Lepisosteus oculatus: one gene and its partners. The protein of the gene in region 1 interacts with the protein of each later gene in a biochemical or structural test. Links are inferred from orthologs where the notes say so. Each region holds a gene or a part of one and is shown on either strand. Other genes may lie near its edges.

Evidence for each region.
Region 2: the proteins of map2k7 (region 1) and growth arrest and DNA damage-inducible protein GADD45 beta form a complex in vitro, tested with the Homo sapiens proteins (2 studies listed by BioGRID and IntAct). The link is inferred for Lepisosteus oculatus from reciprocal best matches to the Homo sapiens genes MAP2K7 and GADD45B.
Region 3: the proteins of map2k7 (region 1) and mapk8ip2 form a complex in vitro, tested with the Homo sapiens proteins (2 studies listed by BioGRID). The link is inferred for Lepisosteus oculatus from reciprocal best matches to the Homo sapiens genes MAP2K7 and MAPK8IP2.

The regions. Positions count from the first base shown.
Region 1 is NC_090706.1:13,862,184-13,869,629, forward strand, and holds the start of map2k7 (dual specificity mitogen-activated protein kinase kinase 7), read right to left. Parts: upstream 3,027-7,446; 5' UTR 3,000-3,026; coding exon 2,810-2,999; intron 1-2,809. Other genes in the region: pkn1a (serine/threonine-protein kinase N1), read right to left, coding at 6,097-6,300, 6,809-6,889, 7,218-7,325. UniProt on the Homo sapiens protein: Dual specificity protein kinase which acts as an essential component of the MAP kinase signal transduction pathway. Essential component of the stress-activated protein kinase/c-Jun N-terminal kinase (SAP/JNK) signaling pathway.
Region 2 is NC_090724.1:1,678,683-1,686,060, forward strand, and holds growth arrest and DNA damage-inducible protein GADD45 beta, read right to left. Parts: upstream 2,642-7,378; 5' UTR 2,472-2,641; coding exon 2,428-2,471; intron 2,247-2,427; coding exon 2,145-2,246; intron 1,951-2,144; coding exon 1,728-1,950; intron 1,390-1,727; coding exon 1,276-1,389; 3' UTR 514-1,275; downstream 1-513.
Region 3 is NC_090702.1:14,099,470-14,107,362, forward strand, and holds the start of mapk8ip2 (C-Jun-amino-terminal kinase-interacting protein 2), read right to left. Parts: upstream 3,014-7,893; 5' UTR 2,546-3,013; coding exon 2,481-2,545; intron 2,455-2,480; exon of another isoform or gene 2,370-2,454; coding exon of another isoform or gene 2,332-2,369; intron 1-2,331. UniProt on the Homo sapiens protein: The JNK-interacting protein (JIP) group of scaffold proteins selectively mediates JNK signaling by aggregating specific components of the MAPK cascade to form a functional JNK signaling module.

The sequences.
Region 1 (7,446 bases):
GTGTGTCAAAATCAACTGTCTGGTACATTGTTAGGAAGCAAGAACGCACTGGTGAGCTTAGCAACAGCAAACGACCTGGTAGACCACGGAAGACCACAGTAGTGGATGACAGAAAAATACTGTCAATCGTGAAGAAAAACCCCTTTTCGACTGCTGAACAGATCGAGAACACTCTCCAGGATCTACCACTGTGGAACATGGTGGAGGTAGTGTCTTGGCTTGGGCATGTATGGCTGCCAGTAGAACTGGCAGTCACATCACCAATAAAGACAAGTGAGCCAACAGCAGCAGCAGGATGAATTCTGAAGTGTACAGAAGCATCTTATCTGCTCAAATCCAACCAAATGGCACAAAACTCATTGGACGGCACTTCACCTTGCAGCAGGACAGCGACCCCAAACATACTGCCAAAGCAACTATGGGGCTTTTCAGGGTCAAGAAGTGGAACGTTGTTGACTGGCCAAGTCAATGACCCAACCTGAATCCCACTGAGCATGCATTTCACTTACTGAAGACAAGACTGAAGGCAAAAAGCCCCCGAAACAAGCAGGAACTGAAAATGGCTGCATTACAGGCCTGGCAGAGCATCACCAGGGAAGTTACCCAGCTTCTGGTGATGTCTACGGATGGCAGACTTCAGGCAATCATCAACTGCAAAGGACTTGCCACAAAGTACTAAACATGACCATTTTATTTAAGATTATGTTAATGTGTCAAATTACATTTAAACCCCTTGAAATGGGAGGACTATGTATAAAAAGGGCTGTGATTCCTATATGGTTCACCCAATATAGACGTAAATACCCTCGAATTAAAGCTGACATTCTGCACTTTAACCTCATAGTCATTGTTTCATTTCAAATCCAATGTGCTGGAGTACAGAGCCAAAACAACCAAAATTGTCCAAATACTTAGAGACTGCACTGCTATAACCAGCTGTACACACTGTCCACTCCCACCCTCACTGTCCACTGTGCTATAACCAGCTGTACTCACTGTCCACTCCCACCCTCACTGTCCACTGTGCTATAACCAGCTGTCCTCACTGCTATAACCAGCTGTACAAAGTCCACTTCTATACACACTGTCCAGTGCTTTAACCAGCCGTACACTATCCAATTCTGTACACGCTGTCCACTCTGCTATAACCAGCCATACCAACTGTCCACTCTGCTATAACCAGTTATACACACTGTCCACTCTGCTATAACCAGCCGTATACACTGTCCACTTCCACACACTGTCCAGTCTGCTATAACCAGCCGTATACACTGTCCACTTCCACACACTGTCCACTCTGCTATAACCAGCCGTATACACTGTCCACTTCCACACACTGTCCACTCTGCTATAACCAGCTGTATACACTGTCCACTTCCACACACTGTCCACTCTGCTATAACCAGTCGTATACACTGTCCACTTCCACACACTGTCCACTCTGCTATAACCAGCCGTACACTGTCCACTTCCACACACTGTCCAGTCTGCTATAACCAGCTGTATACACTGTCCACTTCCACACACTGTCCAGTCTGCTATAACCAGCTATACACACTGTCCAGCCGTATACACTGTCCACTTCCACACACTGTCCAGTCTGCTATAACCAGCCGTATACACTGTCCACTTCCACACACTGTCCAGTCTGCTATAACCAGCCGTATACACTGTCCACTTCCACACACTGTCCACTCTGCTATAACCAGCTGTGCATAATGTACACTGCTACACACAGTTATAATGAAATATACACACTGTATATCCACAGACAGCTATGCACACTGCAAACCACAGCATACAAAGTTGTAATCGCCGTGTGCACCGCTTTGCATCACTTGCACACAAACAGCTACTCTCGCAGTGACCCCACGAGTAAATGCTGTTTCTACAATCAACAAACCCAGCAGGCGGGATAGAAGAAACAACTCCTTCGGTGTGTTCATCTATAATTATGGTGTCAGTGTTTTAGCTCCAGTGTCTACTGTCCTACTGTGTGTTTCTCACTGAAGGATTCTGTTACTTCCTTGGTCTCCTGTCCTATTGCACATGTAGAACTGAGGGATCCTGTCCTGTCTCCTGTCTCTCCCTGTCCTGCTCTGTGCATATCAGTAAACTATGCCACTGTCAGACAGACAACCACGTTTAACGTGCCGAATGACTACTTTCTATTTCAGATGACCGACAAACGCAAGCCAATCCAAACACACGGGTTTACAATCCCGGCACTCTTCTGCGGAGTGAAGACAGCTCCTCCACCTACAGACCTTCTCAAACACGCCTGCGAGACAGGAGCTGACACCCGTACGGATGTTTTCACACGTCTTGCTGAGCTTTGTGCTCAAGTCCAAGACAGAAGCTGCAACGTAACTTAACCCGTCACAAGGTCGCGCCACGGCGGTCCCGTCACGGCTGCGGTGTTTACAGGAGGCGACAGGGCCGCCCTGCCGCTTCCTTGGTCACATTTTAAACCACTAAGCACGAAAATGAAATGAAACTGAAAAACAAAAAACAAGAAACCGGACAGCGGCGCCGGAAAGCGACGGGACTGGACGACCAGGCAGAGCCGCGGCCTGCAGGTCCGAGTCCAGACCCGCAAACCGGAGAGGAACTTCACTCGTGTCCGCTTCAGGTCCCGAATACCGGACCCGTCCGGCACCCGGGGTCCGGCGGGCGCTGCGGTTTGTGTAGAAATGTCTACAGATTTTCGATCTCCCCTCCTCCTCGTTCCCCTCCCTCTCCCCGTCCCTGTCCCAAATTCCTGCCGACCCCCACCACCGCTCCCGGCTCTACCGGCTCCAAGACTCACTGGGTCGGGGTCGGGCACGCTGCGGGCTCATATCGATGTTGAGGTCGATGCGCCTTCGCGCTTCTTTATTCTCCTGTTTTAGTTTCTCCTCGATTCGGGAGAGTCTCTGCTCCAACGACGACATTTTGGAAAAACTGAGAGGTACCACCGAGTGCGCACAATCTCTCCACAGACTCTCCCTAAGTGGCATGCTGGGATAGTGGATGACTACACTACCAACTATCCGGTGCCATAGATATCCAGACAGTGTAGCATTTACGAACCGACAGAGACAACCCTCATAATAATGATGACAATAAATACAATGATACTGACATTATGAGAGGAATGCACTCTACCATTGTGGAGACAAACACTGTATTTGGACTTTTTGTAATTGTTTAAAATAAGAGTAATATGCCGTGTTAGAGCGCCTCACGTGGTCCTGGAGGACTGACAAATCAACATATTTTGTAGAATTTTATTTTCAGAGTATAATCATAGAACACATTGTATCTCTAATCATTATCATTAGTGCTGTTGTATCATGGGTGAATTTTTTTCAGAATTATGGGGAAAGATGTCACTCCACAGAGGCTGTGGACAGTATGTGTGAGAGGAGAGATACAGACAGGAGACTGTGGACAGTATGTGTGAGAGGAGAGAGAATACAGACTAGAGACTGTGGAACCAGCCTTCTGTGAATACTGCACAAATCCTGCATGAACCCTTTATGAATTGTGTAAGTCCCATGTGAATCCCCTGTGAACCCTGAGTAATCCTGCCTGAATCTCCTGTGAACCCTGAGTAAATCCTGTGTGAACCCTCTGTAAATACTGTGAACCCTCTGTAATTCCCGTGTAACTACATGAACCCTGTGTAAATACTGTGAACCCTCTGTAATTCCCGTGTAAATACTACATGAACCCTGTGTAAATACTGTGAACCCCGTGTAATTTCTGTGTAAATACAACATGAACCCTCTCTGAACCCTGCATATATCTAGCTTGAAACCTGGTAAATCCTGCAATCCCCTTGTGTATCTTGTGTAAATGCTTTGTAAAGCCTGTGTGAATCCTGCGTAAATCCTGTATGTGCTCTTTGTGAACCCTGCATAAATTCTTTGCACCTTACGTAACTCCGGCCTGAATCCTCTGTGAACCCTGCATGAATCCAGCCTGAATCCTCTGTGAACCCTGCATGAATCCAGCCTGAATCCTCTGTGAACCCCTCCATAAATCCGGCCTGAATCCTCTGTGAACCCTGCATGAATCCGGCCTGAATCCCCTGTGAACCCTGCATGAATCCGGCCTGAATCCTCTGTGAAACCTGAGTAAATCCTGCAGGAACCTTCTGTAAAAACTCCACATGAACTGCACAGCTGGCCAAGGTTAAATGAAACCAGTCCAGGAAACAGGAGACTTCCTATTGGAAGGGTTTCAATAAGATCCCATTATTGGGGGACAATTTGGTACAATGCTGATTTTGGGGTGACATGGATCTTTGGGTCACCTGAGAGAGATTCCTGAGACTGCTTGCTGTATGTTTTCCCAGTGACACTAAACACACTTGTGTTAGAAAAGCCCTTTATAAAAAAGATACATTAAACAGGAAAATTAAGAGTAAAAATAAAAATTTAATCATTCAGTCCTTCACTACTTCCACAATGTTTTTTTTCTGCATAATGTACTCGGTATAATTTACACAACTTTGTTAATATCATCATTAATATTATTTTAAATCCTGAAACTAAAATTTCACTTACTGTAAAATAATAACAGAACTTTTCAAACCTTCACAAGCTCCACAAGAACCAGGTCTGGAGTGACCACTCCTTCTCCACATGATCCGGACCTTCAGAATCGGGTCTGGAGTGACCACTTCTACTCCACATGAACCGGACCCTCAGAATCGGGTCTGGAGTGACCACTCCTTCTCCATATGATCCGGACCTTCAGAATCGGGTCTGGAGTGACCACTCCTTCTCCATATGATCCGGACCTTCAGAATCGGGTCTGGAGTGACCACTCCTTCTCCACATGAACCGGACCTTCAGAATCGGGTCTGGAGTGACCACTCCTTCTCCATATGATCCGGACCTTCAGAATCGGGTCTGGAGTGACCACTCCTTCTCCACGCGAACCGGACCTTCAAAATCGGGTCTGGAGTGACCACTTCTACTCCACGCGAACCGGACCTTCAAAATCGGGTCTGGAGTGACCACTTCTACTCCACGCGAACCGGACCTTCAGAATCGGGTCTGGAGTGACCACTCCTTCTCCACATGAACCGGACCTTCAGAATCGGGTCTGGAGTGACCACTCCTTCTCCACATGATCCGGACCTTCAGAATCGGGTCTGGAGTGACCACTCCTTCTCCACATGATCCGGACCTTCAGAATCGGGTCTGGAGTGACCACTTCTACTCCACATGATCCGGACCTTCAGAATCGGGTCTGGAGTGACCACTTCTACTCCACATGAACCGGACCTTCAGAATCGGGTCTGGAGTGACCACTCCTTCTCCACATGAACCGGACCTTCAGAATCGGGTCTGGAGTGACCACTCCTTCTCCACATGAACCGGACCTTCAGAATCGGGTCTGGAGTGACCACTCCCGATCCCGGCTGGTTGTGTCTCCTTCATGTCCTGCTCATCCGCTCTGCTCGATCCCCCCCCTGTTCACACACACACACGTACTAAAAGCATTTTAAAAATATAATTGGAGCGACTCGTTCCTCCAGCGCTGCAGGCTTCAGTCTGCAAACCTCTCGCTCTACTCATGCCAGCCCCGCAAGACAGCTCTCGAAACGTTAAGGCTTCGGTCGGTGCTACAGCCCCACCCCTCACCACCTCTATCACAGTATAACCGGAAGTCTCTTGCTCCTCCTCCTCTCTCTCGGTGTTTAGGCGGAAAAGGCACACTGCCTGCCCACCACCCTACCACACCTTGTGCTGCTCAGTCCCCTCCTCCCTCCTTCACTGAGGACCCATGCCACACGAGCTGCCGCACCGGGGCTGGGTCTCTGCTCGAACCCCGTCACCTCTCCCTCTCCCCTTCTCTGCAGCTCGGCCTGCGCGCGGGAATATGTCATTCCCGAGAGTCCGCTGACCTAATCCACATCCTCTTGTCCGGAGAGGGAGAGGGACGAAGGCAGCGCGCAGGGAAGCAGAGGAGGGAGCGCTCTGGGAACAGTCCAGGGTCCAGGTGTCCAGGGGCAGACACACTGCCCAAAGTCTCCCTCGGTCGCAGCGCCGAGACGGACAGGCAGGCAGACAGCGCCCCCTCTGTCCAGGCGCAGCAGGGCTAGCAGAGGTCGGAGACGTAGTCAAAGTCCTTGAAGCTCTCCTGCTCCTTGCGGGAGAGCGGGCGGGGCTCTCGGGGTGGGGTCAGGGTGGGCGCCTCTGTCGTGAACTCCTCGTCGAAGTTGCTGACGTCCTCCTTCCCCACGATGGAAGGCACGAAGGGCGGCTTCACCTGCCGCTGGAGCAGCGCCTCCCAGTCCACCCCCTGGGAGAGAGAGACAGGTTAGACACAGCACCTCCCAGTCCACCCCCTGGGAGAGAGAGACAGGTTAGACACAGCACCTCCCAGTCCATCCTCGGAGAGAGAGAGACAGGTTAGACACAGCACCTCCCAGTCCATCCTCTGAGAGAGAGAGACAGGTTAGACACAGCACCTCCCAGTCCACCCCCTGAGAGAGAGAGACAGGTTACTCAGCACCTCCCAGTCCACCCCCTGAGAGAGGAGACAGGTTACTCAGAATCTCCCAGTCCACCCCCTGAAAGAGCGAGAGACTGGTTAGACACAGCACCTCCCAATCTACCCCCTGGGAGATGGATGGAGCCAGGACGAGATAAGGAATAAAGATCAGAGAGGGAAGAGAGCAGAGAGATCCAGACAGTGGACACACAAACCCGGAGATAGAGAGAGGTTAGACACCAGAGGGCAGAATGAGGGAGAGCTTACAGACAGCGAACAAGGATGATGAGAGAGAGCTAGACAGTGAGACGCTTACCCTGAAGAAGGGCTGCTTCTTCACATCATCGGCATCCCTCTCAGTGGAGCCCAGTCTGCGCTCTGGGTTCCTCCGCAGGAGCTGCACACAGACAGTGCCCACAGTGCATCAGTGGGACGACACAATAATCATGAGTGGACCACGGCCAACCCCCACAGGCCAAGAGGAGGTCCAGCTGTGTGGCTCAAGCCCATAACAGAAACAGCTGGATAAGATCCCGGGACAAATCCCTGGCAAGCAAACTCAGTGTGCTGAACAGCGTCTTCTCATCTCTGACCTTTTGTTAAGTTCTTCTAATGGGTTCTCATTTAATAAGAGACACGACAGCAGGAGCTGGTGTGTGATTTGCCTTTTCTAGGTGGCTGACGGCACAAGGCCGGCCTGTGATTGGCCGAGGGGAGAACCTCACCCGTCTCATGATGCCAATGGCCTCGGTGGAGAGGAATCGTGGGTAACGGACTTCATCATTAACGATGCTGTCGAACACCTCCTCCTCATCGTCACCTGGGAAAGGAGACTGAAACACAGGCAGCGTGTCGGTACGGTTGTAATTCCACAGGCTCCGACAGTTCCACGCAGTACGTTAATAACGCGGAAAACGACAAAAAGAGAGAGGAGCACAGGGACTCGAATGCCGT
Region 2 (7,378 bases), on another chromosome or scaffold:
GAAATGTGCATACAAAGCAATAGTTCACCCTCCTCCCCCAGAACACACAAACATCCCTTTTGGGAAAAAAAGGCCCCCATTGTCCTTTCATTTCATAATTGTGGAACCTGCAAGTCTTTTGAAAAAGAAAATTTGCAACAGGATTAGAAATGCAACTTTGTGAGCGAGGTGCCCTTTTTGTACCCTGGGAACTATTCCAAACTGGAGCTCTGCTTCTGTAAGTGAGATCCAGCCTCACTTCAATGAGTTAGTGAATCTTTATTTTGTAGGCCAGAACAGCTCCTGAAGCATTAGGCTGTTCTGCAATAAGAGGATGAGCTTGAATTATAACACAAAGGGATAATAAATGTATGCTTATTGCACACTGCTACGAGTGCAATAGTTTGAAACACTGTTGGAGTTTACTGTGCAATGTTGAACCCCAAAACCCACCAATGGGGGTGCACCCCCACCCATTCTCCCCAGAAGAGCCACATCAGCATGAGAGCCAATAGAAAGAGACAAGAACTTCAATTTCCAATCCAAATAATTTATTTAAAAACAAAACAAGTGAAAACTGGCATTCGAAAACACGTTCATAAATAGAAAAATGAATATATTATTTCATCTCGACACTTCAATACATTCCAGACCCAGCTTGCACTGCTCATGTGAATGTCCCTCAACACCCACATCGCTGCGAAACCAGCGGGAGTGCTGGTGTGGGTTCTGACATGAGCTTTGAAAGTCACTTGCAGTCCGTGTACTGGGAAGCGGCTGAACCCGCTCTGCTCGCACACTCCCACAGGTTTCTTGTTTGCCGTCTCCTGCCGGTTTGCATGTTAGTCAGAGCGCCGTTCCTCTCCACCGTGTGTGTCCGGGGGATTTTTTGGGTTTGTGTCACGTCTCCCCTACTGCAACAGGCAAGGCAATCGTCACGACAGTCTAACCCCCCTCCCCTCCCGCCGCCGCCACCCCCTCGGCGCTGTGAAACTGGCAGGGTTGCCCGTCGCACCACGGCGCTGCTCCGCCGCCCTGCCCGCCGGCCCGCCGGGTTCCCCCTCGGCGTCCCCCGCCAGGGCTGTTCCGCTCTGCGGCGAGACCGCGGCCTCCGGGCCCGGCCCTGTCCCGTCCACTCTTTCCCAGCTCCTTTCCAACTGCTCGTTGCAAGCCGAGGGCCGTGCGGTTGTGTGTGTGTTGTTGAATACACCCTAACATTTTTTTAGTTATTTATTTCCTTCCTTCCCCCGAGAATGTCGCTGTTGTCCTCCGCTTCGGCTGGGGCGCCGGCGCCCCTCAGCGCTCCTGCAGCGCCAGGAAGGGGACCCACTGGTTCTGGCAGCGGCTCTCCTCGCAGTAGCTGCCGACGGCCTTGAGCGCCTGGCTCTTCCCGGAGTCGGTGTGCGGATTCTGGGAGGGGAGAAGGCGGATCATTAGCACGCTGGCCTGTATTCCCGAAACTGAAAGCACGGGGCCATGTGACGCGCGATACTGCCGAGCTGCCGGCTCGTCTCACGGGCGGCTCCGAGCAACCCCGGACCTCCCACCCCGTTTTGCATGCCCCCGAATTCGCTAAGAAATGCCGATTCTGGACCACGGGTGCCAGCTCTGAATGTTGCACCCGGACTGAAGAGACACATGCCCAGCATGCGAATGAGCACCGCGAATGAGCACCTCCTGCGTCTCAGCCACGACTGCTGGTCTGCTACCCCTCCCGCACCCCGGGCACAGCGCTGTAGGACACTTACAGTGACCAGGAGGCAGTGCAGGTCCCGCGGCTCGTTGGCGTTGCAGTCCGCGCCCGCCTCGCCCAGCACCTGCGCCAGCCTCTGCACGCCCGACACCCGCAGGATGTTGATGTCGTTGTCGCAGCAGAAGGCTTGGATCAGCGTGAAGTGGATCTGCAGGGCGATGTCGTCCTCGTCCTCTTCGTCCGTGGCCAGGATGCAGAGCACGACGCTGTCGGGGTCGCTGCGGGCGGAGGAGATACAGCGTTACTACACGGGCACCGGGCTCTGCAAACCGCCCCGCTCGCTAAGTTTCAGTTTGCACTCCTCTGCAACCTCCCTAACGCACAATACGGTGCAATAATACAAGACGTGGAAGCACAGACACCTCGACTCTTCATCACACGTACCCGGCCGATGAGATGAACGGATACTTACATGTTCATTAGCTTTGCAGACTCGTAGACCCCCACCGTGAGGCTGTCCTGTCTCTGAGCCGTCACCAGCAGCTCTTCCAAAGCTTGCGCCACGGTTTCCATCCTGCAAGAGAGAACAGGGAGCCGAGGTTAGGACTTGCTAAGCGCGATCCCAGCTGTTCAGAGCTCGCAGGAGCCGATGTGCAGCCCTACACAGTCAAAGAGAGACCCGGCTACAAGGTGCAGTCGCAAAGCACAGCGCTCAGGTGAGTGAAACTCAAAACTTCTTTAGAGCGTTTACTTACTTTTGGTCAGCGATACTGCATCCAACGACTTCTTCCAGAGTCATGTTGAAATATAAATTGTTGTAATCCACAATGTCCAGATAAACTCCAAAGTTAAAATCCCGTGTAACAAGGTACTCGCTGGCTGAGTAATCCAAACGTTGCAGCTCAGAGTCGTTGTAACCGAGTCCGATCGCCTGAGTTACAATAAACCGGTTTGTATATCCAAGTCCGCTCGCTTAGTTTCTGGGATATTCTCGGCGGCAGACGACTATATATTGTCTTTTCATGTGGGCGAGGCCGGGTCTGCAGCCCTTTGCTCTGATTGGCCAGAGGATTTCAAGAGCGAGCTCAGCCTTTGCAACCATTGGGCGGCCCGTACGAACGTATCGCTCTGAGCCCACGTGGGGCGCGATAGCCTCTCTCTCCCCCCCCCCCCTCAAAGAAATTCACCCGTGTTTGTTTGAATTTCGAATCCTCTGGAATTCCCGGACTGTTTCCTTACGCCGTTTTTCACTCGGGAACAAAAGTGAAAATAGTAGGAAAATAATTGCAGGAGCTTCGGTAAATAAAAGCACATCTGAAATGTCGGCTCACTGCAAGCTCTGTCGACAGCGAGGACCTGTTCGCTTGCATGAAACTTTTGAAAGGTGTTTGCAAAGCAATACAGTGATACTTTTCGGGGATTTGCGTGCTTCTGTACTGGCCCAGTGTCTCTTCTCTAGCAAGGGGACTGCAACACCAGACCCCACTCGGCTTATCTTATGATCGCGTCTTTTTTGGAAGCACCTGACTTTCCTCGTGTTAGGAGGGGGACTTTGCGCCTCATGCAGAACCGAGGACGCGTTGTGCAACTGACAGGGCAGCGTGACAGGATAAAACAGCCTCATCTGAGAATGTCATATGATTAACTTGTCGCGATCCGACTTCATGTATTATTCTAGATGTATCGGGGTGTTTTTTTTTTTTAACCTGCAGCATCCTCCAACGTTTAGTTTCCAGAAAGCAAGACCGGATTTCTAGATGTGTTACCTGGAATTTTCATAACCTGCGCGTCGTCGCGTCCGCATTCCTGTGAGGTTAATTGCGATTTCATGGACGAGGCGCAGAGACACGCACTACATTGTTGACGCTGTCTTCACTGGGCTTCAGTGTTCGCATACCTAATTTCTGTTGGTTTTTGTGGTGGCCCAACTTCCATAACAAAGTTATGAAAAATCACGATCGGTTTTTAATTTCAGTACAACAAAACAGGTTTAGTAAGCACACTAGGAAGAGTTGCAATGCTAGATGCAGACTGGTGTTCTCTTTGTGCTTTGCGATTGCTGTGTGCCGTGCACAGTAACTGTTGATAAGCAACTGTCCAAATCACACTGCAGCAACCCCGAGTTTTCAAATGAAAACCGGCTCCACGTTAACTTTGTTATCGGGGGGTCCCCCTAGTGGTCACAGGCAGTCACTGCAGGTACATGTTGTAACGCCTCGCAACTTTCATGAACTTTCCAGCATGAGGTAATTCCAGGGTAATAGCCCTCACAATTTATTTGCCCTTCTTCTGTTAAGTAACGTTTTGTGTTTTTTCGTGAGGCTTGCACACAAAAAAATAATTTTACTATTATTGGAAAGAAAAAAAATAATCTTTAAAATAAATTGACTGCAACAGTTTGCTGTGTGAAAGAGCAATTTGCAATGAAATGCAGTCAAAATGGTTGCTACGAATGATAACAGTAACAGATTAACGTGGCTAACATGCCCTGAGTTAACAACTGCTCCCCAGCACGGCAACTTGCTAACAGTCTGAACCGGATTGCGTGACGCTGCACTTTCGCGGCGGGGCTCAGTATCTCGGCCCGCGATCGCCCTCTGGTGGAAAGTGGGCGCATTTAGCCAACTGATAATTGAAGCCGTGCTGCCACCTGCCTGTCACTGTTTCCAGGCGAAAATGAGAAAATGCGTCTTTCTGAAGTGTCTCATAGGGTCAGTTGTATGTGTTTAATTGACTGTCGCATGAGTATGTTTTAAATGTAAGCGGTCATTTATTTTTCTCGTGATCTCTCATTTTTATTTCAATTCAAAAGACGCGGGTTTTAATTCATGGGTGAATTTCGCTGAAGGACTCAGAAGAAATAACCTTAACTGATGTCGAGATACTTCTGGAGCGCATGTGTTTGGAATAGCATAAGACGGTTGCCACGTACAGGGTAGGATGAGACGTAGCAAGGCATTCAATCGAGGTCAGCGGCTTCCTAAATCCATTTCTCAATGATGGCAAACTTGACGACTGAAGTGTCCACGATTTAAAGCGAGGCGCCTCTCGCCCTGGCTAGAGATCGTATTGGTAAAATCACATATTTCAATTGCGAGGCGCCACCGGAGCTGTTAACAGCCGGTTACAGCAAGCGCCCGACACATGTAAATGAAGAAACGGAAAGAAGTTCAAAGTTTTTCGTTCGGAAATCCAGGTTGATGTGCCAAGCGCCTGAGCGAGGTGTGAAACGGAGGAAGGCGCTTTCTTTTGTCAGAGTCGGAATTGCGAGGCTGCAGGTCGGTGCTTCAGGACAGAGTGTTCTGCTCGTGTTAGCAGGGCAGTGTTCACACACACACACACCTCAAACCGAGCCCGGGGCGAGCTTGGTCTTGCTCTTAACGGTGTTTGGACACAGTTGTTGTTGTTCTGTGTGTGTGTGAGAGGGAAGGACGTGTTTTTCATTCTCTGCGGAGACACGGACTGAAGGGGGCTGTGTGTGGGGGATGAGTCAGTCCGATCATGTAGTCATTAACCAGACAGAACGAGGAGTCGATCACGTCTGTTAGTCACCATCGCCATCAGCGCTGCCGACACCGTGGAGCTACTGACCCCCGAAACAAACAACACCGGCTCGGTGTCATGATGGAGTTAGCGCTCCTTAACTGTCCTGACTATAACCGGACGCGCCGACACACAAAAAACGACATTCTGCAGATTTATATCAAATATATATATATCTTCTGCAGATATATCCGTAAAGATGACCGTCACTCTACCGTAAGACGTCTACTTTAATCTGAGGAAGAGGTGAAAACAGGGTCGCAAATCATAGAATTTTATATATTGCTGTTGTAGTCGCATCAAAACGCTTTTAAATCTCGATTTTAACCAGAGGAGGGCATAGACAACAAATGATCCCATTTCCTGTACTCGTCTACCTGGGAATGTGGTCGGGGAGCGGGAGAGAAGTGTCCCGCGGAGGTGCGGTACCGAGTCAGACACTGGGGGTTCTCTCCGTGTCCCTCGAGACTGGCACAACTGCTTTAAATATTTCAGCACTTTGGTCTGACAAAATGGTATCGGTGCACGAAGGCTGCAGCTGGCCGGTACTCGCACGACAGTGCTCATACGAAGCCAACACGATCGCTTACTGTCCTGATCCCCTGACAGTGAATCTGCGCTCCTTCTGTCTGGGCGTCGATTTCACGCTACCGACATCAGTGCAACAGCGCTAGGTAATCCCCGATACCCACGGCTGCTCACCGGCTTCACTGGGACAAGGTAGTCTTTCACCTTGAAATTCACAAACACACGAGTGGTGGAAACAGTCAGGAGTGGGCGAGTTTCGGGTCTCCTTGTGCAAGTTGGTGCCTATTCTCACCCACGCACGGAAGAGAACGTACAAGAATAGCTCAATTGTACTGCCTCCCCCCACCAGAAGTAATTTGTAAAGGAACATGGAATTGCCCTGAACAAAAGAAACTATTTTAGCATTCGATGTAAAATGCAGTGTGCCATAGACATTTTTGTTAGGGCCCCTGTGATTCATAAGTCGCGGTCTGAAAGCTCTCTTTATAGATGTGAGTAAACGGCACAGCAAGTTGTGCTAAAAGCCCGACCTTCGACCTCTCCGATCACAGCTCAAACTTGCGCTCTCCCTGGAAATCATGGGATCGGGGAAAACTGCAAGCAGGTCTGCTTTCAGCCGTGGAGCTGATCTGGAGTTCCTCGAACACTTTGAAAGTGTGCTCTGAAGTTCTAAATGGCTAAAAACATTTTCTAAGAAAATAAACACTGATAAAACACTGATGATATTCACTGGCGTGGAGATAAAGTTCCGACCAACTAAGCAACTAGTAGGATCCACGGAGTAGCTAGAAGGTGCCAGTTGGAGGGACCAGGTGGATTTGAACCTGTGACCCCCTGTTTATAGTGCCCTTCCCGAACTCCTGGTGGTTAGAAAATGAGAGCTTCTGGAGAAAAAAACAAACCTGGACCAGGAAATAGCAGGAAATACCCTAAAAGGTGACTGGAATCAGATGAGCTGGGCTGCTTTTCCGATTCCTCAATGTGAGGTTTGTTCACCTTGCCTGTGTCCTGGGCACAGGAGGAGTGTTCGTCGGGGAGCTGCAGTGAGCCAAGCGAGGGGAACAGAAGGAGCTGGCCTGTCAGCACACAGCTGCAGCTCACACAAGGTACCACAAGCCTTCTGACAGAAGACATTTCCTTTCTCCTTTTGCCCCAACGAAAGACACGAGGGCGAAAGACACTGGGCCTTGGTGCTTACCTGGAAGTCTGCTGCCTGTTGGTCCCGGAGTTTCACCCAGTGGTTTGTCAGAAGACCTCCCAGGGGGCAGCTTGTGTGCTCTGCCCAGGCAGCTCGCTTCTGATACCCACAGCGCTTCCTGAAAGGTACTTTAGCCCCTGCTTCCTATCCCAGAAACCCTGCTGAGGGATTACCAGCTATGTCTTTCATTGGCTGAATCAGAAACCGGCCAATCGGGTTGTATCTGGCCTTTGCCCCTTGTCTGAGTGAGGCCCTGGTCTCCAATCCACACACGTGGCTCCGGTGCCCTCTTGCTGTGCGGACCTGCTCGTTTACATGAGACAGGCTGGCTCAGGGACACTGTGATGGGCCATTAGACCTTAATCTCAGGATTGGCTGGCACCTGCTGCAAAGGTCGTTATCACCCATCCCTCAACTCTCGGCCTCTGGTGTGGAGT
Region 3 (7,893 bases), on another chromosome or scaffold:
CATGAACACAAATACAGAATGACAGGGAAATAAAATTGGGAATGACTGCACCATTGTGCTTGGAAAGTCTCATTGATGTGGCTCTGCACTGACCAATATTTTGTGAAAACCTGCTGAAATCTGACCAATATTCTACTGAAACAGAAGTGTAAGATAAACTGAAAATACCACTTTATTTTTCATTTAGTTTCGAAAACGAATATGTGATACCCCTGCGTAAGAGGAAAGCATGTAACTTGAGACTGGGTTGTTGTTCAGTTTCACTGCAGTTGATCTTATAAAATAAAAGATGTGATGGCTCTATTTAACAGTGAGTGTTTCAGAAACATCAAAGAATCCCCACCACACTTCACCTACTTATATTCTCATATTAACGTTTCTGCAGGTCCTTCCTCCTGGCCGCTGTCAGGGTGTGTTACACTGCCCTAGGCTAGGACTGTTGCCCTTCATCTGCTCATCTATGGACAGCATGTTGCACTATTGTACTTTTTGGACACTCAATCTGTATATACAGTACCTATGTGCATTTTGCACGTATTTTACTGTTTTACAGTGACTATGAGCATATTTTGCACACACCTAACTCTATATATTTATTTTGTATTGCTATACTTATTTTAATTTTTCGTCTGTTATGATATCTGTCTTTGCTTGTCTTGGGGTGGGCTGCTGTAACACCTCAATTTCCCTTTGGGATCAAAAAAATCTATTCTCATTTTTATTTTTAGCAAAAAAAAAACCCTCCTAGAGTAATATCTGAACTTACAATATATATTTTCTTCTATGAAAACTGTAGAGCATAGAGAAGGTAATTTATTGTTTACTGTCTTTATTGCATTTATTTTTGTCCTTCCAATTTTATGTATCCTGTTTTTTTTCCTCCTCACCACCTAAAAATCATGCTCCAATTCTACAGACATTCCTTTCAGCCTTTCCTTAATGGGCTGTTTTTTTTGATGGCCCTAAGGGAAGTGTCAACGTTGTTTAAATCAAAATGGTGGTCCTTTTAAGAATATGGATCCTAGAGGTACACCTTCACTGAAGATTACAATAGAACTGATTTTCTGATGTTAAGGTGGGGGAAAAGTAATACTATACTGCTTCAGACTGTGAAGTGGCCAAAGCTTATTTTTCCTGCAATACCCCAAGGGCCAGGGAGATTTCACTCCCTGCCTGACACCGAGTGGCATGTGGATTGTGCAAACACACACACTGAAGCATGCCTCAAATAAAGAGAGACGGCTTTCAGTAGTAAATCCTTCAGAATCGTTGCCCTGCGTCAATATTTATGAATACAAATAGTTGTTTATAAATACATATTAAGAGGACATGCTTACCTAGTAGGGTGAATACAAATTATTTGTTGGAGCAATGTGCAAAAATATGATTATCCCGCAGCTTGCTGGACTTTTGTGTTCATCAAAATAGTTAGAATACAACCCCTAATTGGAATGGCTCAGTACAAATGTCTACAAAAGCTGCTTTCCTTACAAAAGCAAACACAAAATTACATTTTAATATAATTACTGTTCATACTAAACTATTTTATTAGGGTTATTTTCAGAACAGCATGAGCATTTTTTATGATATATACTGTAATTCACATTCATTCATACAACCCATTTCAACTTCAATACCCCACTTCTAGTCTTTTTAAATCACATGATAACAAGTAAGAGATAATATAGAAAGATAGGTGCTGAAATGGTTTATTAGTTTTATGTACAACTTTATACATTTCACTCTTTTGTGTTCTGCAGTATAGGTGCGCTGTCAACAAAGTTTTATTTCGTTCTAGTGAATATGCATTAAGTCAAACGTTACGGATAGGTAGCTTTAGCAATCATAAACATCACGGGTCAAAGTCCTCTTTTAAAATCGACGAAAAAAGAATTAAGCAGTCCAGACATAGTGATCGGTTTATGTCAGCAGTGGGGTCCTTCTTTCAATTATAATTGTAAATAAATACATCACTATGGAGGCTTCATGTATGCATCTAATAGGGCGTGGGCCTCTTGAGAAGCAACTCCTCGAACGTCTGATAAATACAATTAATAACCGTGTGTAAAGCAAAGAATTACAAAGAATCAACCGTTTGATATCCTTTCAGGTTATTTCTCTCCTTTTAAATATAATGTTAATACTGGTGTTATTTTACAGAAGCAATTGGTAAATAAAAAAACTTGCAACGCTACAATATATACACTGGAAATATAGTTATGAAAGAAAGCAATAATATCGAAACAATAATAAAAGCAAAAGTACAAATCTAATATTTTAATGTACGGCTTTCCCCCCATCCAACCCTCCCATGCGCCAGAATCAACAGACCTGTCGTAGCGGTACTTGAGAGCATCACCCAGTGACATTCCTACTGCTCCTCCCGCGACAGCCTTGGCCTCTGCAGCAAAGCGCCCGGGAGTTTTCGTTATGTCCTTGATTTATCGCAAATGAAAATGTTGCTGCTGAAGCAGTCTTACCTGCAACCTGGAGGAGAGAGGGAATGGAAGGTGGAGAGAGAAAACATCTCAGCCCTGTCCGCCATCTTCTTCCAGAAATGACTCAAAAGTGACTGCAGATAATCACAAAGCACAGCCCATTCACAGCCAGAGAGGGTGCAGGCAAACCGGATCAAGGGATGATGATCAGCGAAGAATTTTCGCCCCCCTCTGTGGCAACACTGCAGATGTCACTAACATGAACTAATTGTACCACGGATACATTTATCTACGATCAGAAAATCCAGATAATCCTCTTGGGGAAAAAGGAAAGGAAGAGCGTGCTGATTAGGAAAATGGTTGTTTTAAATAATCGTGGATTAAACACTGCCATACACCTGCATAGATCTAGCGCTAAGTACTCACAGAATCAGAGCTATGGAATGCAACAGCAAGCTCTTGTAAAAAAAATCAAGCGCAGCCTCTATCCCTTCCAAAGGACGCACACCAAGCTCCCCCAATACTATGTACAGTATATCAAACAGCAAGAGGTAAAAATCTGTACTGAACTAGCAAAGCAGGAAACAGCACTGCGGATGGTCGTACTTAAGACTACAGACCACATTTTAAACCAAGATGTATCATCCAGCATTATCATATTCTGTTATGATTATGCGCGTTTAATAGCATTTTTCTATATTTCGAAAAAACGTACAATAGGTTGCATTTTGCTGATGGCTTGTGAATATTATGACTGAGATTGATTTGTTTGTGGGTGGAGAAGATTTTGTATTACATGGACATCACGTACAGTAATACTGGAATGCGCTGACAAACACTTCACAATTATTCAGAGCATAAATGCATGTCTTTCTTCTTTAATTGGTCTAAAAACCACTGACTCAGCACCACAGATATATCCTGGAGTAACATTTTACTCCTGAACTGAGGATTCTGTCAAAGTTATACCAGATACAGTAACCATCGTGTACGACTCTGTTGATATTGTATGTCTACATTTATAGGAGTGGAAAGAAAATTAAACGATCGGTCAGACTCACCAATGAATCACAAATCAGCTCCTTTGGACCGCATTTAAACTGAAAACGGGAGTTGTTGGAGTCTGTAACAACTTCTATCCTTTCAAGAAGCAGCTGGTGAGTTAATTAAGCGCGCGTTGTATTACAGTATGTAGCCATGTACGTTTTTTTAGAAATCCCAGACATTTTAGAAAAAGCTCTACATCTTTAAGCACTCGTTATGATAGTATTTGAAGTAAAGTGTTAAAACAGTACTTGACATGTGGTCATGGCAGATTAGCACTTGGCAGCATTGAAGAATTGCCAAACACTTCAAAACCATGGAAATAACCGACTTCAAAACCATGGAGGCAATACTCGAGTTTATTTTAGTTTCTCAGTATTTTGCATTTGAATACAGAAGAGTATTTACAGTCTTAATGTGGGAACATGGTCCGCAATCTTGATTTAGTGAGGCCAGCACTATTTCTTGTAGGAATATAAACCATACTGACCTTAAATAAAAGCGTTAACAAGTGCACCCCGGTGACGAGTCTTGACTAACACTAACAAGTTTACAAAGATACATCCAAGCATCCGTTTTCAATAATCAACCACTCCTTTACAGAACACCAAAGTCCAAAGGAAGGGCAGACACATCAATGAATTAAAAAAGATGCATTTTAAATAAGCATACTAAAACTACTGCGCAGTGGCAAAAAACCTGTTGTAAAGAACAAGTAAAGGTTTATTCCACGCAGAAAAGAAACATATCGTTTCGGATGTGGAGGCTCCGAAAAGCTGATTCTTTTCTTACCTTTTCTGCATGGAATAAACCTTTACTTGTTCCTTTGCAGCCTACGCAGTACCTACTTTTAAAATCTGTTGTATGCGTCGAAGCATAGAGCTGTTCTATCGCCTTTGGTGCTGAAATTGTGTAGGAATTTGAGAGCCACCTATGGAGAAATAAGGTATTACAACACTTAACTATTATCTTAATTGTGTACTACCTCAATTCAAACTCCATCCATCCATTACCGAATGGCGGCTTATTTCTAGTGTCACGCTGACCCAGAGCATGTCAGGACCATAAGACGGATAGGTAGGTTATTACACCCTAGAAAAGAGAACCTGTCCATTACTGCGTACACACTGTCAGTTTAGAGACTCTTATTCACGTAATGTAACTTCTGCACAAGGCATAGTGCTGTCACTCCTATAAAAATAACACAACTAAAAGTATTCCATACAAAGATCTTTTACTCAAGTTCAATGTCTTCCTCATAATGTCTTCGATCTATAATCTTTAGAAATAAAAATATGCAATTATTCAAACATTATTTGAGACTTCATTGTTGTGGATCTTTGCATTAAAATACACATAGAATAATAAGAAATTAGCAGTTCTACTTTCCAATTAAAAGAGATGCTTGTAAGAATACAGAATGGGATAGTTTATATATACTATACAAACACAAATATCTTGCTTCTTTAAAAGCTATTTTAGAAGCAATAAAGCAGATAATATGTACTAGGAAACAAAGCAAAAAATAATAAGAGCATTAATTTATCCTTTAGCGTGACGCTAGATGAAATTTGATTAGGATAAAAAGACCCATTCCTGTGAACAAAATATAATCAAATCACTGTAAGTAACTTAAGTTTTTATTTTGAAGGTGGTTTTATAGACAATTTTCACCAAATAATAGATTTCAGATTTAAAATTTCAAATTTATCCTTTGTCAGTAGATTATAAATTCAGCAATCTCTTTTCAACAGCTTTCTTTTTATAGAACACCAAGATGCATTTGAAGGTGTGGTATGATATACACTAACACAGCACTTGTAATTATTTTCAGGACTTTCACATAACAAAATGAGGCTCAGATCACTCATTACTAAACACTTATTCAAAGTTTGAGCTGTATCTTTTGGATATCCTAAAGAAAAGTCACATAATTTTATTAACCTATTGCAGAACAGGTGTGTTTATCTCATGTTTTCATGAGGTTGAATCATTTATAACTCATCTCATACCAGGACTGGCAAGCCAATCAGAGATATTTCTTATAAGAAGTAAAGTGCACACTGAAATGTGCTCATTCCTTTCAAAGTTTTTTATTTCTTGAAAGTATTTCACTAATCCTATCATCAGGCTTAACAAACATCTAGAACATGAATATTACATCACAGAATGAAATTATACAATGCAAAAATAAATGTTACAGAGTACTAAAACTCTGATGTTACACTTGAAATATATAAACATCTCCAATACATTTCCCAACACCCAATTATAGGCACAACATCATGTTGATTAAAAATAATATGCACTGTACTGAAATAAGGAATATTTAACTGCAGGGTTAGGGTGAATAGAAGTCAAGCACATTTTTGGTGAAGGTAGTGAAGATATAAAATGCAGTGGAGCAATATTATTCTATGCTTTGATTTGATTAAAAAGGTAGTTTTGCCTTTCAGTTATCCTGTGTAAGGAGCTTCTTGTTGATGAAGGTGAAATGTCTTAACTGTGGGTGTGCAAGCAGCTTGAAACTTTGTAACCTTCTGGTTGTTTCAGTTAGCCACTGTGGTTTTAGTGGAAATCAGTTCTCTATGAATTACTAAACTTGGTACTGGCTTATGCTTGAGTCAGAAGTAAATAAAGCCTGATACTGTCAAACATATGGTTCAACAGATGTATTAATAACGACAGTAGTCAGCCACTATAACAAAAAAGTGCTAGATAGATGTATTTTCATCTATTTATTATGCTTGTAAAAGCATTACAAAATGAACTGCATTTACTTATGCCTTACTAATTGTCATATTTAACACTTCTTATCGGCTAATAAAAGATCCATGTATGCTCCAACAATGAGGTCCTCCTTTCTAACTCCCAGTTCATCCATAAGCTTGTGGGCAATAGCTTCTCCTTCTTCTTCAGTTTGTCCATCATTCAGCACCACCTGTGGTTGATACATAAATCCATAATACTGGAAATACTGTTTAAGAACTTAAATCTCTGACTTGATATACAAACTTTAAGTTGCTCTGTTTTTATATAACTCTGCAATGATCTCCTCTAAAATCTGAAATTTAAAACAGAAATGCAAGCAAACAAATTCTTTTTAATCAAGATATATGAATATGTAACTACGTGCTAATTTAATATTTCCTTCACTGTCATTTTATTTGAGAGTCCGATCTACATCTTATCAGAGATCAAAATCAGTATCACATGGTTTGTGAAGAAAAGTCCTACATTTTAGTGATTTTTAAAATGACTAAAATGAAGTGCAATATAATGAAAAAACTTTTTTTAAAACTATTTTATAGTGTGCATGAGTTCAGATTAAAGAACTCTAAGGACACACAACATGGCATAGTTCTCTTAAGGAAATTATAAATTAGGTTGATGGATGCAACTTCAATAATGCATCATCTGGATTCAATACATACCACAAATACTCTGCAAGAATATCATATATACAGAACATTAAACAGCCACAACACTCAACACAGGCCTCAACTTCTCCCTAGAATCAGTGTGAACACTAAAGCTGGGACTGTTAGTTAACTTACCTCCAGCTCCATGAAGTGCCCCAGGCCTTCAACTGTGTCTACATGGACTCTAGTTTGCCCCACCATATACAGATGCCGTTCTTTTTTCACGGTTCCCTTCACACCCAGAGCATCTGAAAGGACTTTCTAAAAAAAAAAACAACATTTATTTAATACTCACGCTCTCACAGTTTCTCCCTCCCTCCCACAAAGCACAACAGCATTCGATTTTTCTTTTTCTTGTGGGGTAAGTCTGATTATTATGACTCACTTTGCTGAATACAGAGAGTGCACTTAAGTTTTCCCATCAGTGAGACTTGGAGCCATGTGAAAACATGATTAATGTCAGCACAAGAAAGTTCTTAAAATGGCATCCAAGATAACAGGCTGTGATTTACCAGCTCTTGACATACTGTCTACTCCAGTGGTTCTCATCGCTGGTCTTGAGGGACCCCTGTGTCTTCTGGCTTTTAAGGACATGAGAACATAAAAAAGGTTACAAATGAGACAAAGCCATTTGGCCCGTCTAGACTGTTGGGTAATAAGTAGCTGGAGCTTATCCAGACCTTTCTTGAAGGTAAAGGCTTTAACCACATGGATGGATATCATTCCATACTCCCTTAATCCTTTGGGGAAGAGGCCTCTTGTTCTTGGGTTTTAAAAGCACTTCCTCGTAGTTTCCACTTGTGTCCTGTATTTTGTTTTCTGTTGTTCATTCTGAAGAACTTCATTGGGCTGGCAATGCCTTTAGAGGATTTTAAATATCAGGTCCTCTTGTAATTATTTTATATTCAAGGGTAAAAAACAACAACCGAATCTAAAAAGGTTAGGTTATTGTAGCCTGTCATTGTGGGACATTTCTTTTAAGTACTAGA